Arabidopsis thaliana: one gene and its partner. The protein of the gene in region 2 interacts with the protein of the main gene of each other region in a pairwise test. Each region holds a gene or a part of one and is shown on either strand. Other genes may lie near its edges. The genes, in order: ACBP4 and ckl3.

Region 1 (9,430 bases), on a different chromosome or scaffold from region 2:
ACTGATTCCGACATTTACAAGTCAAGCCAAGAGCTGACCTTCTACCTACTTCATTCATAGCTTCTTCCACAGCTTTTGCAAAGTGATCCGAACTAGTTTGCTGTGATTTCTCCTTCACATGAGGTTCAAAAGGGATAAGCTCAGCAGGATCGAACCATCCATAACTATTATCCCCAAAGAAAGCAACCAGAACGTAACCCATCTTCTTCACACGACGAACAGAGGGAGACGCAAAAGCTTCATTGAATATTTGACCTGGCCACCATGGATGTGACTTTACCTTTCCCCAAACCATATCTCCCACTTCAAAACCATAGCTCAATGCCTTCGAATTTCTAGAACCCATTTTCTCCCTCGCAACATAATCGTCAAATTCGGATAAGAAAGATTTGTAGTCCGGAACTCGCCTTTTCTCCATTTTCTTCTCACCAGATTCGTTGCAGAGCTCATAAAATCGGTGATCAGAGTCTCTAATCTCTCTTTTCATTTCACAAAATCTAGGTTCCGTTTCACTGTTAGACACTCGAGAACCTAAATCGACATTTCCATTTCCATCACTTCCAGTGTCTGCAGCAACCGAATCAAGCTCCATAAGGAAAGCTTCGGCCTGATCAATCATTTCAAATTTCCCGGAGCCATTGCCAGAAAAAGTAACGAAACTATCACCAAAAACCCTAGGATTCACATTCACCTCAGCCGAATTCATTTCTCTCTAACCACACTTGAACCCTCGGTGTTAAAGAGCTTTCATAACAATGAAACCCTAGAAACAACTCGAAGCCAGAAGATGCGTAACTTTGTTTAAATCCTGAGATTGTTTGCTGGAAGAGAAAATTTAAGAAATTTCATGAGAGTAAAGCTGGAGAAGATGACAAAAGCATCACTTGGTGAGAAGGACATTTTGGTAACTTCTCAGCGTCATAAATGGTGATGGTGAACGGTCGAACTTCCCATCCAGTAATAGGTTGCCACGTCATGGGACAAAAAAACGTGATCTTTTTATTTTATTTTATTTTGCTGCCTAAAACGTGATTTTTTGTCCACTTACGAAGTGAGGTAAATTTAATTTAATTTTTAATGCAAACGAAGACTAAAGAGTGAAGAGAGTAAGAGACTCGTAAATATAAGAAAATTATGATTGCTGATCGTAAACTGATTTAGTTTTCATAATTTTGTCAGACACTCCCAAAACAAATATTTCAAAAAAGTTAACGAATATTCTGGTGAATCACTTGTATAACAGAGAACAAAGCTAAACATCGGTAGTAATCAAAGCTCGCTAAAAAAATATCTTATTGGAAGAAGAAACAATGCGAGAGACTCAGACAAAAAAAACTATATATATTTCTTTACTGAAAGCAAATATCGTCCGGAGGAAAATGGCATTACCGGACCAAAAATGATCAAGGCGAATCATCATCTTTTTCCTGAGGGCTTCCAGCGAGCCAGCCCCATACGCCACCCGAGCCCTGTCGTTTAGCGTTCATTGCAGCTTGTTCTGAGGCAGCCTTTTGACGTTGCAGGAGTTCGAGTTCCTTCTGTAGTGTTTCCAATGTTTGAAGCTTTTGTCTTAGCTCTGCAACATCAACCTGCAGATTCGGAGAAAGTGACCCAATTAGATTTGCTTTGTTTTTGTTCTTATGACGTGATGAAGCTTATCAATAAATGACAGAGAAGATATGTGATAGATCCAGTGGTTACAATGGATGAATGTTCTAATCAAGATTCCTATTCATCCTGGAATATGAGTATATGTAGTCATTAAATCACGGGTTTCACGAGATTCCAAATTCTGTAGGTTATGGTACAAAAGAGATGTGGCTACGGTTTAGTACCTCCAGTTTGAAACACCTTGATTGTTCGGCTGCAAGTTGGCCACGAACAGATTGAAGTTCCTACAAAATGTCAGTACAAAGTTAGGTATATCATATTCGAGGAAAAATTCCGAGATTTCAGATGTTAAATGTGAATGCAATTGGAAGACTGCTGCAACCAGTCTTTATGAACGATTGGTTCACCAATTTATTCATGTCGGCTTCTGTTTTAAGAAGGTGATAATATTAGTACCTTGTACAAATCTGTGTTTCGTAATTCTGCTTCTCCTAACTCTTGCCTTAGTTGGAGAGTCTGCATCCTCTCTTTGTTCAGTGATGCCTCCAGCTCTTCCTTCTCAGATTTAATAGTCGCAATAATGCGTTCGCTGTTTCCTTCAACCTGGGGATTAATCACCCAAAACATAATAAGAGTGCGAGAAGGTGATGATCCGGACTGGAGTAACTATATTCTGTGTCGACACAATCACTACCACAGCATATATGCATAAGATGCTTCAATTCTCTCAAACAAATCAAAAGGTGGTGCTATGCAAAATATATTAAGGAGGGAAATTTGACAAGAAGATACCTTTGATCCAGGGTTAACATTGTCCATGACAATTTCCCGTACCCTGCCTTCTTGGCTCACCTCAACCTCAGACTCAATGTCTCTGGTTGTGGCATTATTAACAGCAGAAAGACTACCTGGCAAAGGCGCTTCCAGAGTCTTTGTTTGCAATGTTGATTTGTGGCTTGGTTTAAGAAGATTAATCTAATGCCAGATAAGAATTAGAAGCAGAACTAAATGAAAAATTAAGAGAAATGAACTTATGGGTTCAGATCACAGTCCCTACTTCGTTATTGTAACGTCCATTGTATCCACCAAAAGCGACTAGTACATCTTCACCATTGTATGAACTCACCACTAAACTTAATCCCTGTCAGTAGCAAAGGAAAGGACGATGGAAATGAAATAAGCATGACTTGACTTTTTTCGAAGTCTTGAAAAGGCTTCTACCGTGTTTATTTGTATAGCTATCTGGGAATTAATATGGATAAAGTCTGTTTATTTAAGTACCTCGCTAGCAAGAGGTACACGTCCTTGAACTGAAGCAACGACCGACCATGCAAGAGTTGACATGTTTAGTACAACACTCTCCGATGCCCCTGCAGTAATTTGTCACAAAATTAGTCACCCCACACACACAAAAAAAAAAACCCAAGCAAATATCTTTTGTTCTAGGGGGTGATAAACAGAACGGTTGGGAAGAGAAAATTTCCAAGGGAAAAGTGCATTAACATACCACTCTTGTTATCACCGCCACCAACAATAAACCAGTTCTCCCCAATTGTCACGCCAGCATGTCCAGCTCTTGGAGTTGGTGCATCACCTTGCTGTGCTGGTCTTGACCACTCCATCTATATGTGACAATTATATCAGAGGCTGACAAAGCATGTTTGAGAGCAGCTGAAAGAATAGACTCTTAGCTTAACTTACAGTTTGCAAATCAAGGACATGCAGGTCATCGAAACAGGTTGCATGTGAGCCGCCACCAAAGATAAGAAGGAACCGTTCTGCATGCACTGCAGCAGCATGATCAGACCTCGGAGATGGAGATACACCCCTGCAATTTGACACCAATTTAAATCCTGAATTGCTAATCTTTCAATAACGACTAAGATACTAAAGGAGATAGGAGGTCGATTTCTAACATATTCATATTCTGGTTATATATCTAATCTTAAATGGGTTTGACTTCTTCGAAAGAGAACAAAATGCAGAAACATCATAAAATCTTACACGGCATCTATCTCATCCCAGGTCATCGTGTCTAGGTCAAGTATATGCAAATCGTTCAGAAGTGATCTCTTTGCATCTTGCCCGCCAAATATCACCAAGGTTTTACCCACCATTGTAACTGACTGGCCTCCACGTGAAACCTAAAAGCAAGAGATAATTATAAGAAAGTCTAAATTTAAGTAACCAAAATGCATATTTGACTTCCAAATTAGCAAGGAGAAATTCTGGATTTAGATGCACCTTAACCCTGAAGATATTATGGGAGGGTAAGGAAAGAAAACAACTTTTATTTTTTTGTCTTTTGACGGCCAAATTTTTTTTTGTATAAAACTGTAATATTTTCATACAAAGGTGACAGGAAAGCAAATGAGACAACATGAGAGAAGTGAAGATATACCGGTGGTTTTCCATATGTCTTTAACATTGACCATGTAATGGTATGGGGATCAAAGACCTTCACTGTGACAGGAAACAGTAGAAAGTGATATGTAATCATTGAGATTCCAGAAAAATCTTATAAATATGTGCAAATTATCGTCTTCAAAGGTATATAAACGCTAACCTTGCATAGATTCTGAGGGATCCTTTGTGTGACCACCGATAGACAGCAGCTTGTTGTCCCATGCTATCTACAAAACAAGCAAAGAAGGTAAGTGAATAATGTATAGCTAGAGTCTTCTTTATTACAAACTAATATAGCAAGTGACTTTCATGAAGAGAATACTTTGCTTTAGCTGAAACCCCTCTCCTGAATATTTCTGGGCAGGAAAGCAAAACGATAATAACAAAAACAAAACGAAAAAGTTAATAAACTTACCAAAGAATGACCAGCACAAGGAGCTAACAATGTCGGAGTTGATGTTTCCTGAGATTCTGTTGCAACCTTGGTTTCAACTCTTGACCAAGTCCAACTTTTTAAATCTAGAACCTGTATACATTCCACAGAAGCTTTGCTTAGGAACTGTCACCGGGACTGGTATTGTCAAGCTAGGAGCTGAATATCTCAATTACATTAGGAGCTTATGCTTATAAACCATAGAGGTTGCTTACATGAAGATCACCAAGGTAACGGCCATTGTGATTTCCACCATATATATACATCTTATCTTGAATAACTGCTGCGCCATGCTGAAAAAAATATAATAAACAAGACTTAGAAAAATACAGAAGATACATGAATGACATAACCTTTTACTTATTCTTCAAAAGAGAGAGAAAAAATAAATTACCTCGTAACGAGCTTTTGGACGCTGACCTGATGTTTGGGGTGCAGTCCACTGGTTATATACAGAAACAGTATTTGAGTCTTCTGAGACTACATCTTTATCTTGGGTTTCAGCCAAACGTCCATTCTCCGTAGAAATTGTTTTTGTCTCACTAAATGTGCTCCCATTCTCAACAACAGGCTCATCTTTTGCTCTCTGCTACAAAGATGAATGCACTAAAAAACTCAAATAATTTTCTTCAATCAAGCAAAAGATATGTGTAATAGTTCCCATGGTTTGGACATCGAATCCCATGGGATACCAAAACTTACATTAATTTGGACATCTACAACAGGATCTGGAATATCATTAGATGCCCTCGAATACCAACCAGGATCATCTTCCTGATAAAAATTGAGCAATAGAGAAGAAAGCAAGGTTATGCTCCAGTTAAGTCTTTAAAAAAAAAAAAAAAATAGACCTCTTTGTCGGTTACCTCCAGAATTTTCACAAAGAGACGCATTGCCTCAATGGAGGGCATGGTTCCGAGCCCCTGCCAACTAAGTAAATATGAAATGCTTCAGAACAGTAGCATGTGTATCTTTCAGGAAAGGAACGAGGACAACTTTAAAGTCTTATTTTCCTTTAAAAAGGATCGTAAGCATTAACAACCTCAGTAATGTAGACCAAAAGGTCCAAAACATAGGTAAGCACTTAGTTTTTTTCCCCAGGGATGCACATTCAAATCCTGCATTTCTATTTTCCTCTAGTAGCTTACACTAAAGTACTCCTTTCCCGTTTCCCTAATGCATTTGGATTCTTACGCTCTAGTAATTGATGAAATCTAAGACATCTCCTATTAATATCTACCATGAAGCATATTCCTACAAGTATGATTCACAAACGCAAGAATAGAAATAAAAGAACCAGTGATAAATGCATAAATGTTAATCGTAGATAAGTATGGGCAAAACACAGCACCCAATCTAACCTTTTCCATTTGCTTTGCTCCACTGGTCTCCAGGCACTAGGTTTCGGAGTGTTGCATGGTCCTACAGTAGCCTGTTTCAATGTTAAATCCAAGAGATCATCAGCACTGAGCCTATCTATCCCAGGGATAAAAACTAGTAGACTCGACATTATAATTAGTACAAGAGAACGTTTCTCTCTATGTTAAGGAACAGCCAGTTTCACCCCCTCGTAAGAAATTCATCTACGACTATACTAATCAAGTTATAGAATCAATGTAGATCCAAGTAAACTACGACTGACGGACCAACGCTCCCTGAGATCTAATAAAATAAAACTGTTTCAATCATGTTTCCAATCAAATCGTGATGAGATCTCGGGTAACATTTTACTGAGCATTTCGAATATACTAACCAGGATCGAAAATAACGATCAAGCACAGCTAATCAGACAAGTAAAGTGCGTCATTTCTAAAATCCGATAAGAATTCGGCGAGAGGAATATGAATCGGTGACTAAAACAAAGAAATCAACACCCAAACGACCAGATCTCGTGAAATTCAAAAGCAAAATCCACAATCGTGAGATCAACAATGGAAGAGATCAGAAATGGAAGTTGCTGACCTGCTGGTATAGCGCATAGAGAAGTAGTGCAGTATCATCGGGGAATTTCGAGATGACGTTTTTCGCCGACGAATCAGATCCGTCGAGACCGACATAAGATGCAGCAGCGTAGAACCTCTCCGGGTAAGCGGGACCAGAGGTTGCCCTAGGCATAGCCATTTGTCTCTCTCTCTGACTACGACCGCGGATTTGATCGGAGATGGAGAAGCCAATGAGCAGAGATAGGCGTTTTCTAGTTTCGTTTGTTCAAAGATACAAACTTATGATTACTTTAAATTATTTTCATTAATATAGAAACATATTCTCAAAATTTAATATTTAATTGATCAAAAATTATAGTAATTGCTTGGTGCAGTGTTTATATAGCGAGCGGCACGATCAAGAAGACATGATTATGCTCGAAACTTTTCTCTTTTTATTGTCACTTCGTATTTTTGACCTTAATCATCGTAATCAACTCAATAGTGTGAATTAATTAAGAAAAACAAAGAGACCCTATCAATATGAAGAAAAAATAAGCTTTGCTTTGTAGTATCTTGTTTCTTTTTGGGTTTTTACAATTTGTTTTCCGATCCTTTACATTCAAGAAATTATATTGAACGATTTCGCAGTAGTGTAAATTTCCGATTTCACCTCTGACCAAGCTGACTCTGGCGCTTGAGCGTTCAGTGTATAAAGCCGGCCACTGTGAGCGCAACAAACGGCTACATTATGCCGCCGGAAAAGAGGTGATTCGACTTTAAACTCCAACTCGTAGTACTTCAAGTTTCTCTCTGAATCTTGTCTGATACTTGATTCTAGCAAAGTTCCTTTCAAATCTGCTCGTTGACCAGATCCTGTCACTGTTCTTACTATTGCCTCTCCTACTTCTTTTGGCCCTCCAAACGCTTCGATTCTATATCGTAAACAATAAACACTTTCATAAAACAGATTCCGCTTCTTGAAATAAAATGACAATTGCTCGTCAAGAAAACATTGATGCTTATTGGCAAAAGAAAAAAAAAAACATTGATGCTCATCGATCTAGGTCACTTTATGATCTTAACAATCATAGCGAATCGGGTGTCTGCACTAACTTCTGTGATAGATTCAAAGTAGTAAAGAGAATCATGTACTTACATTGAGATATATTGTTTCACTTCAAACATGTACTAAATGTAATAAACAATCTTGAAAATTACAACTTTGAAACTAGTTGTTAGACCACTAAAATAATCGATCTAGTCTTACAATTTTTTCTCATGATCAATTAGATTTGTTTGCAAGATCTAGTAAACCATATCACTTAGTCGTTACCAGTTACCACAGAACAATCAAATGTTTCTACTATAAGAATGATGTTTTTTTTTTTTAATGACACGTCAGCTCTAGGGCGATTTTCTTGGCGACTAGGGTTTTCATTCTTTTTCAGCAAGCTAGGGTTTCAGCGGCGGCTTGCCGTCGGTTTCTCATGTCCGACCAGGTTTTACCAGTCTCTTCTGAGGCAGGAACAGTTGGTTCTCCATCTGGATCTGTCCAGCAAAAGTCCTATGCAGCAGTAGTTACTAAACGGCCTTCTCTGAAAAAAGATGAATATGAAGTCTCTGTGCAAGACGGTGTCCCAACCATTGCAGTTCCGAAAGAAGTTATCACTGAATCTGTCCCTCTCTGGGATGATTTTCTGGTGGGACGGTTCCCATCACAAGCTCCGCATGTCGCTAAGATCCATGTCATAGTCAATAAGATCTGGACTCTTGGGGACAAAGCAATTAAGATTGACGTCTATGAGATAGACTCTACTTCAGTAAAGTTTCGAATCCGTGACTCCGCCACGCGTTCGAGAATAGTCAGAAGAGGGATGTGGAACATTGCTGGTTTACCAATGATTGTTGCCAAGTGGTCTCCGATTAAAGAAGAAGCCCAGCCAGAGATTAAAACAATGCCGTTGTGGGTCACAGTGAAGAATGTTCCTCATTCCATGTTCTCCTGGGATGGTTTGAGTTTTATTACAAGTTCAGTAGGAAATCCAATACGGTTACATCCTGAAACAGAATTATGCACAAAGTTTGATGAAGCTAAAGTTTTTGTTGAAGTAAATCTTTCGCAAGACGTTCCAAAGTGTCACAGGTTCAAAATTGAGGAGGAAAAAGATGTTATCGTGGAGTTTATTTACCCCTGGTTGCCTCCCAAATGCACTTGTTGTAGTAAGTGGGGTCACCTAGTGGATGTTTGTGTGAGTAAGCTCAAGCCTCCAGCGCTGGTGATAGAAAGTGAGCTAGAAGAAGGTGAAGTTTTAGCGGATCCTTCTGCTTCTGCTACCACAGTGAGAGTTGCTGACCATGAGTCAGCTAATAGTGGGAATAAAGAGGATGGGATTCAGAACTCGATTTTGATTTCTCAGGAGGTTTTTGAACAACAAGTGGTAGCAGAGAAGGTGGTACCACCAGAATCTCAGTCGGAAGGAGATGGTTGGTCCATAGTCTCCCCAGGTAAAGGAAGCAAAAGTACAGAAAAGTCAAATGGGAAACCATTAACTTTTGGCCAAGCAACAATTTTATCCTCTTCTCGGTACTCTGTCCTGAGTGATCAGGAGGAGAATGGGGATAAAGATGAGTTCCCCACAATCTCCTCAGAGGAAGTCATTGAGACGGAGCGAACGAACTCTATTGATGACGTTGTCTCTACTCAAGCGATCGAAAAGAATTCCACTTCGGATAAAGAGAAAGCAGGAGCGGTGAGAGTAAATCTTCCTCGCTCCTCCAAGAGTTCACACAAAGTCCTTTCGGAGTCTTTTACTCAAAAAGCTAGAGACAATGTCTCCAGCAATTCGAGCAGAAGAAACTCCAAAAAACATCATTAAATGTCGGGGTTCTTCTGGAATGTGCGCGGTTTTAACAAATCAAATAAACATTCCGTTGTTCGTGATTGGGTGAGAAAGGAGTCTTTAACTTTTGGGGGTTTATTAGAAACGAGGGTGGATGAAACTAGTGCTAGCAAGATCATTTCTAAGGTATTTCCTGGGTGGTCTTCTATGACTAA
Region 2 (7,325 bases):
TACATATAGCATAAATGATTAAAACACGATACTGATCATCACGAAATATGCTCTTGACCATTATTTTACTGAAAACCCATTGCAGATGAACATGCCATCATCCACTTCATTATCTCCTGCGGGTACCTCAAAAAGAAATGTCAGACCCGAAACCTCAAATTCTGGGTTTGGGAGCGGGAATAAAACCGGCGGTTGGACTTCACCATTCATGTCACCGGGGAAATGATGCAAAAAAAGTTGGAGTATATCATTCATCTGATCTGCTGAGCAAGATTATGTGTGCCTTTGGGTCTAAACTGTGATTTCTGCAGTGAAAAGCTCTAGACTGAGGTTGAAGATCTGAATGGAGTTTTTCCATGAACAGCTTACTGTTTGACAAAAGGCATGAAGATTATGTTTGCTTTCCTTCAAGATTCTCACAAATGACTGACTTCAACCTTTGTATAAAATCTTGCAACCGGGCGTGTAATTTGGTTCTTGTGATTCATTCTCCCAAGTTTTCTTCTATAAAACTTTGTTCGTATTTCTGTACGTAGTTCCCTGTGTTGGGGCATAACCTGGGTTTGCTGTGTCATCAACATTGTTTGCAGAAAATCAAGAGCAAAGCATGAGCAGCTTCAGCAGAGATGCCTTCAAAGGCTTGAGTCAAGAGTTGCTTGTGGCAGGGACATGTCACCATCAAGCTAATGTGCAGCTGACGAGAACGTAAAAGGATAAGCTATGGCTAGCTTCTGGAATGCTCCGAGAAACACTTCCCCCTTTTTTTTTCTCTGAATTTCCTATTCAGTTTAATGGTATTCTGTGTTTGATTTTTCTTACTCGATTTTGTGCATTGAAAAAAATTATATCAAAAAGCTTGACTTGATCCAAACATGCATTTTCAATTGCTATTATTAAAAAAAAAAAACGTATAAAATTGTAGTCTCAATATTGAAATACAAACACCTAGAATTGATCGATTTGGTAGAGAACTAGTTAGTGGATTAAATTTGGGTTGGCTGATTTTCGAGCCATAAACTATTTCGATTCTCAGCTTTCACACCCGGACTTTTGGGCCTTTAAATTTCCACCATCAACTTTCATATTCCCAAAATTACATCATCTATTTTTGGATTCATGCTTAAACATACATTTCCAATTGAACCATTCATTTAACCGGGATTAACCACAAATCCGCGTTTACTGTACCGCGATTGCGATTAACCCAACTAATACCCAGACCCGTTAAGAAAACGACGTCGTTTTCATTTCGTTTAACTCATCAAAAAGAGAAAGAAAACGACGTCGTTTTCATTCTTCTTCTTTAACTCTCAAATCGATTTAGTCGTTCTTCTTTAATCTCGACACTGTGAAATTAGGGTTCTTGAGAGAGAAAGACAAAAGGGGATTTGGGGTTTTCTTCTTCGGTTCGAATTTTTGGGTCTCGATTTGGGTTTCGAATAGGGAGAAATGAAGAATTGGTGGGAGGAAAGATTGATTTACCAAAGCGATCCAGATGACCCCGATTTCGAACCTCCAGAGAGTGACATTGAAGCCGACGATGGAAGTGATAGTGGTGATAGCGGAGTCGAGGAGGACGAAGCCACCAGAATCGAGGGAGAGGACGTCGGGATAGATGGAGACAGAGCTTCTGATGGAGAGGAAAATAGAGAAGACGATGGTGACATAGCGTCTGATGGAGACGTCAATCTAGAAGACGATGGAGACAGAGATGAAAGTCAAAAGAAGAGGACTACCAAATCGATTTGAGAGTTAAAGAAGAAGAATGAAAACGACGTCGTTTTCTTAACGGGTCTGGGTATTAGTCGGGTTAATCACAATCGCGGTACAGTAAACGCGGATTTGTGGTTAATCCCGGTTAAATGAATGGTTCAATTGAAAATGTATGTTTAATCATGAATTCGAAAGTAGATGATGTAATTTTGAGGAATATGAAAATTGATGGTGGAAATTTAAGGGCCCAAAAATCCGGGAGTGAAAACTAAGAATCGAAATAGTTTATGACTCGAAAATCAGCCAACCCATTAAATTTTCGAACCTTCATCATTTTGCAGACCCCAAAAACGGAAATCATCAAATCATCCACCGTGCCAGCGTGACATTACAAAATCACGTAAATACCCTCGTGTTTGTTTATAAGGTAAAAAAAGATTGGCGGACCCAAAATGGTGCAGTAGTTAGGTGTACAAATTTTTTTTTGAAGGATCACTACTACGGCTCAAACAAGCCTGGGTCCATGTCACTACCACCGATGTCAGTCAAACAAAAATAATAATATATGTTTTTAAGTTCCTCTAATTTCAATCTTCTAAACAACAACCCTAAATCCTTATCTCTATCCTTGCGCTTGATCCAGATTCGGTTCTGATTGGAGCTGCCATGGAACGCATCATCGGCGGCAAGTACAAGCTCGGACGGAAGATCGGCGGTGGTTCGTTCGGAGAGATTTTTCTAGGTTTTGTGTTCTCCTCTGTTCTTGTCCCTTTGGTTTTCCGAGTTTGCTTTTTTATTTGAAATTGACGCTCTTCTCTTCTGTTTGTTGTTTTCGCAGCTACGCACGTCGATACCTTCGAGATCGTAGCTGTTAAGATCGTAAGTCCCAGCTCAATTTGCCTTGAGACGAATTGAATCCATCCAATCTGGAGATTTGATTTGGATCTGCTATGTCTCTTAATTGATTTTGTTTGAATTGCTTTACTCTAAAATTGAGCAAGGTTTTAAACTCGGTGCTTTTTAGCTGCAATATATTCTTCAAGCTAACACTTGTTTTTAATTCAATCATTTTCTCTTGCAGGAGAACAGTAAAACAAAGCATCCTCAACTTCTCTATGAAGCTAAGCTATATAGAATTCTTGAAGGAGGAAGTATGATTCTCTTTCCTCTCTTTTCTCAGTTGTTGGACATTGGAGGGATTCATTAGCAGTACAATACTAATTTTTATGTTATGTGTCAGGTGGAATTCCGCGCATAAAATGGTTTGGAGTTGATGGAACAGAGAATGCTTTAGTGATGGATTTGCTCGGTCCAAGTCTCGAAGATCTTTTCGTCTACTGTGGGAGGAAATTCTCACCAAAGACAGTCTTGATGTTGGCTGATCAAATGGTATGGCATGACTTTCAACTATTCATTAGGCTATTTATAATATCTGTTGACTTATACATTGATTATCTAATGTGCTTCCGATTTTCTTATCCCGCTGTTACAGCTAACAAGAATAGAATTTGTACATTCGAAAGGATATCTGCATAGAGATATTAAACCCGATAACTTCCTCATGGGCCTAGGTCGGAAAGCAAATCAGGTATATTTCTGCAACTTCTTATCTTCATCAGATGCCATAAGTAGAGTATGGTATGATTGATAAGTCTCATTTTTCAGGTTTATCTAATTGACTTTGGACTTGCCAAAAGATATCGGGATGCCAACACCAACCGCCACATCCCTTACAGGTATTGTGGCCTTGGTTCAATATACAGATTGTAAATGATCTATCTGTTTTTAAGTTTTACGGTCACGTTAATCATTATACAACTTATTTCCTTTATTCGGCTATATTCAGGGAAAACAAGAATTTAACAGGAACTGCACGATATGCAAGTTGCAATACACATCTTGGAATTGGTAAGAAATGCTGGCATTCTTTATCCTTATGTAAAAGTAAATCGCTTTTGCTCATATTTTGGGTTCTCTTCACAGAGCAAAGTCGACGGGATGATCTAGAATCGCTGGGATATGTGCTTCTGTATTTCCTAAGAGGAAGGTGTGTTGTCTTTTTGAAAGAAACTAGTTAACATTATGTTATTTCGCAGGGTATTTCTATTCCTTGTTTTTAGAGATTTACTTAACTGTTTTTTGTGTTCCTCATTTCATGAACGTCCTTTTCTAGTCTTCCATGGCAGGGTCTTAAGGCTGTTGACAAGAAGCAAAAGTATGATAAAATCTGTGAGAAGAAGATATCAACTCCCATTGAGGTATGTTTCCCTATTGTGTGATTGATTCTTTTTTTGTTAATCCTCATTCGACTAAGTATATATCGATATCCCATTGCAGGTGCTATGCAAAAATCACCCTGTGGAGTTTGCATCATATTTTCATTACTGCCATACACTGACATTTGATCAGCGCCCAGATTATGGATTCTTGAAGCGGCTTTTTCGTGATTTATTTTCGCGGGAAGGTAGGTACTTTGGATAAAGACATCTCTTCATCATTCATAGTTCACTCAGCTGATAAGGTTCACCGGCATCATCTACCTACCTCACTATTATATGTTCTCTTTTGCAGGATATGAGTTCGACTATATATTTGACTGGACTATCATAAAGTATCAACAAGCACAGAAATCTAGAAATCAGTCTCAGGTATAGTTTTCAATGTTTTCTCAATCTTAATTTGCTGCTGTGTCACCTTTCTTGTTACTAACAAAAAGTATTGTCATTTCTACTGCAGGCAGTTCCTGGGTCTAGCAATCCTCGTGCAATGCCAGTGGACACAAGCAATCATCGGGGTTAGCTCTAATTAATAGCTTGTTGTTGCAATTGTTTATTTTGAAATCTCTGTTTTCTGACGCTCTGTTTGGCAGGAGGACCAAATATTTCTTATGAAGCCGAGGCCTCTGAACGCGTCAGATCGGCTAATGCCATTGGTCCAAGCCCACAGATAAATAATAATACTGCTGCAGGGAGGACTCCGGGGTTTGATCACCCTGTCCACAAGAATGTACGTATTTCTGCATTTGCCTCTTCCAAAGAACCGTTTTATTCTGCAAACTCGTTGCTTGTGTTAGCATGTCATGTATAGTATTACTCTCAGAACACTTCATGGTTCCCTGAAAACTGATTTTACCAGTATCGCTTTGTCAATTGTCATGAATTAATGAAACAATATATTGATCTTCGAGATGAGTTCCCTTGACTGTTATTTTACTGAAAACCCATTGCAGATGAACATGCCATCCACTTCATTATCTCCTGCGGGTACCTCAAAAAGAAATGTCGGACCCGAAACCTCAAATTCTGGATATGGGAGTGGGAATAGAACTGGTTGGACTTCGTCATTCATGTCTCCAGAGAAATGATGCAAAGAAAATGTAGCTTTTTCCTGAAATGGTGAGTGAGATGATGCGCTGTTAATGTGACTCCGTGCCCTTAATTCACCTCTGAAACTACAGCAGAAATCAGAACTTGGTGTCACTAACACCTTTGTATCTCCTCCACCTTTGGCTGGAAGAAAGATGCAATGGTTTCTATGTAAATTCTCTGAAGTGTGTGTGGACAAGAAGGCGTTGGTTGAAGCATTTGTGTTTACACACACAAGACATGAAAGTGTATGTGTGCTTTTCATTCAAAGATTTCCCCCAACCTTTGTATAATTCTTACACCCGGATGTGTAATCTTGTTATGTGATTCATACATATCATTTTTAGCTACTCTTTGCTATGTGATCAATGACCTTTTGCTGCAGCTTGATATATGTATACATGTTAATGGATAGCGTCATTCTTTGCAGAAATCCAGAGCCAAGCTTGAGCTGAGATGAGTCTTCAAAAGGCTTAGCAATGCACAGGTTTCTTTCACAGACGCCCAAGTTCGATTCTTATTTTTGTGCAATTGATTTATGAGGAAAGATTTTGAGAGTCAACATGGGATTCAAATAACTCGGAGACAGTGAGTAAGAAACTATTCTGGGAGAGAATAAAATGTTTGAGAGCTCATGAAGCCAGTTGAAAAACGATTTGATGCGCTCGGTCGGAGAAATCATCATCATGGAAGAGGCAGGTGACCAGGTGTAGGTTGTATTTGTACAGCTGTAATGGAAACCTATCTTAGGCCATAAGGGAAAATCCAATTTGTGTAAACTAAAGTAAGTTTGTCTTAAATTTCTTCATAGTGTTTAGTAATTAGTATCATATACTCTTCAATATTTGCTTTTAAATATTTCTGTTATCTTTATATATTGTGAAAATTGAAATCAAATCCAGACGGAACCTAAGTAATTGAAAACCAAAACAAAAATTAAATTGAAAGTAATTTACTACAATTTGAATTAAGCTACATCATTATTGTTTTTAAACGAAAATTTGATCCGATACCAACTCCAAAGAAGACTGAACTCTACTAGAAAGAAAGGGGCGTTATTCTAAAACAGGTCCATATTCAACCTAATACACCTATAATATAAAATAGTTTCGTTAGGTTCTATTTAATAATTTATTTTAAATTTAACTTCCATTCGTAATCGGCATAAGTTGGACCACATGATAAGTATGATGATGCAATGACTTGCTTTTTACATAACAACAATCTTTGGCCTCATCTACCTATTTCGCATTATAACATGTTCTTTGAATCGTTTCCCATTTTGTTTTTACATCATACAAACTTAAAAAGTTTCATCTACGGTGCTGCACCTGCACTCGAAGCAGCCCAGGTTCCATCGTGGTGTCCTTCGTTACAAAGTTAAGAAAGAGGTTCCAAAATAAGACATGAAAAAGAAGAAGGTGTTCCACTTATTTTTAAGACTGTTATATGCTTATATGAAGGACAAAATATACATCTATTTTAAGTTTAGTGGCATATAAATATATTACAAAGAAAAAATCAGAGGAGTCAGAATCCCACATCAGATAATTATAAATATATCTTATATGATTGGGCATATAATTTCATAATTGGTAACTGGAAAAAGAAAGTAAGATAATCAAAAGGAAATTGCTAGGTCTTGAATATAAAATTGTATATTAATAATCAAATTGGCTAATGTAGTGTTTGTTATGAAATTAAAATATTATTATTAGTAGTTAGTTGACCTACTTATATGTATTTTTGTAATCAATTACATGATTTAGTAATAATGTTCGTCCAAATAAAAGAATACAATTGTCAAGAGACAAAACCAAGAGTAGTTGTGTTTTATTTTGAATGAAAAGGAAAACTAAATAAATAGAGTTAGAAGCAATAATTCATATATCATATACAGTATGTGTGAGTGAGTTATGTGTGTATTAAAGTCTTAAAGTTATAAATGTATAATATATGATGCATTCATAACAAAATCATAACATGTAGCCAAGTTATTACTTTATTTGTAATAGTTGTGTATAATACATGTTGAACAAAAAATATTGCAGTAATAACAATGAAACTGAAAATGAGCCTGGTTGCTTCTGTAACCAGGTAAGCTGACATGTTCCTTATTGAAAACAATTATTGAGCTCTTTTTAAAATTAAATCCAGCAATAATTCAATCAATTCATATATTATAAGTCAAAGCTTTGTTTATACATAAATCTATCTTATTTACACAAATCAGCTTCGTTTGATCCA

Evidence for each region.
Region 1: the proteins of ckl3 (region 2) and ACBP4 interact in binary tests that used the Arabidopsis thaliana proteins (3 or more experiments, as listed by UniProt).

Annotation. Positions count from the first base shown.
Region 1 is NC_003074.8:1,559,021-1,568,450, reverse strand, and holds ACBP4 (acyl-CoA binding protein 4), read right to left. Parts: upstream 6,781-9,430; 5' UTR 6,572-6,780; coding exon 6,413-6,571; intron 5,883-6,412; coding exon 5,812-5,882; intron 5,381-5,811; coding exon 5,317-5,380; intron 5,225-5,316; coding exon 5,153-5,224; intron 5,040-5,152; coding exon 4,845-5,039; intron 4,744-4,844; coding exon 4,666-4,743; intron 4,544-4,665; coding exon 4,433-4,543; intron 4,245-4,432; coding exon 4,178-4,244; intron 4,075-4,177; coding exon 4,013-4,074; intron 3,756-4,012; coding exon 3,616-3,755; intron 3,440-3,615; coding exon 3,313-3,439; intron 3,234-3,312; coding exon 3,119-3,233; intron 2,982-3,118; coding exon 2,893-2,981; intron 2,753-2,892; coding exon 2,669-2,752; intron 2,587-2,668; coding exon 2,404-2,586; intron 2,215-2,403; coding exon 2,068-2,214; intron 1,896-2,067; coding exon 1,836-1,895; intron 1,590-1,835; coding exon 1,404-1,589; 3' UTR 1,115-1,403; downstream 1-1,114. Other genes in the region: AT3G05430 (Tudor/PWWP/MBT superfamily protein), read right to left, coding at 1-706; AT3G05425 (uncharacterized protein), read right to left, coding at 846-977; AT3G05410 (Photosystem II reaction center PsbP family protein), read right to left, coding at 6,995-7,307. UniProt on the Arabidopsis thaliana protein: Binds medium- and long-chain acyl-CoA esters with very high affinity. Can interact in vitro with oleoyl-CoA, barely with palmitoyl-CoA, but not with arachidonyl-CoA. May function as an intracellular carrier of acyl-CoA esters.
Region 2 is NC_003075.7:14,248,972-14,256,296, forward strand, and holds ckl3 (casein kinase I-like 3), read left to right. Parts: upstream 1-2,163; 5' UTR 2,164-2,379; coding exon 2,380-2,455; intron 2,456-2,551; coding exon 2,552-2,592; intron 2,593-2,794; coding exon 2,795-2,864; intron 2,865-2,953; coding exon 2,954-3,102; intron 3,103-3,205; coding exon 3,206-3,301; intron 3,302-3,378; coding exon 3,379-3,449; intron 3,450-3,559; coding exon 3,560-3,621; intron 3,622-3,696; coding exon 3,697-3,760; intron 3,761-3,886; coding exon 3,887-3,971; intron 3,972-4,050; coding exon 4,051-4,177; intron 4,178-4,284; coding exon 4,285-4,361; intron 4,362-4,449; coding exon 4,450-4,507; intron 4,508-4,582; coding exon 4,583-4,719; intron 4,720-4,942; coding exon 4,943-5,077; 3' UTR 5,078-5,975; downstream 5,976-7,325. Other genes in the region: ckl4 (casein kinase I-like 4), read left to right, coding at 86-226; AT4G28870 (mutator transposase MUDRA protein), read left to right, coding at 1,450-1,749. UniProt on the Arabidopsis thaliana protein: Protein kinase involved in blue light responses (e.g. hypocotyl elongation and flowering) by phosphorylating CRY2 to reduce its stability.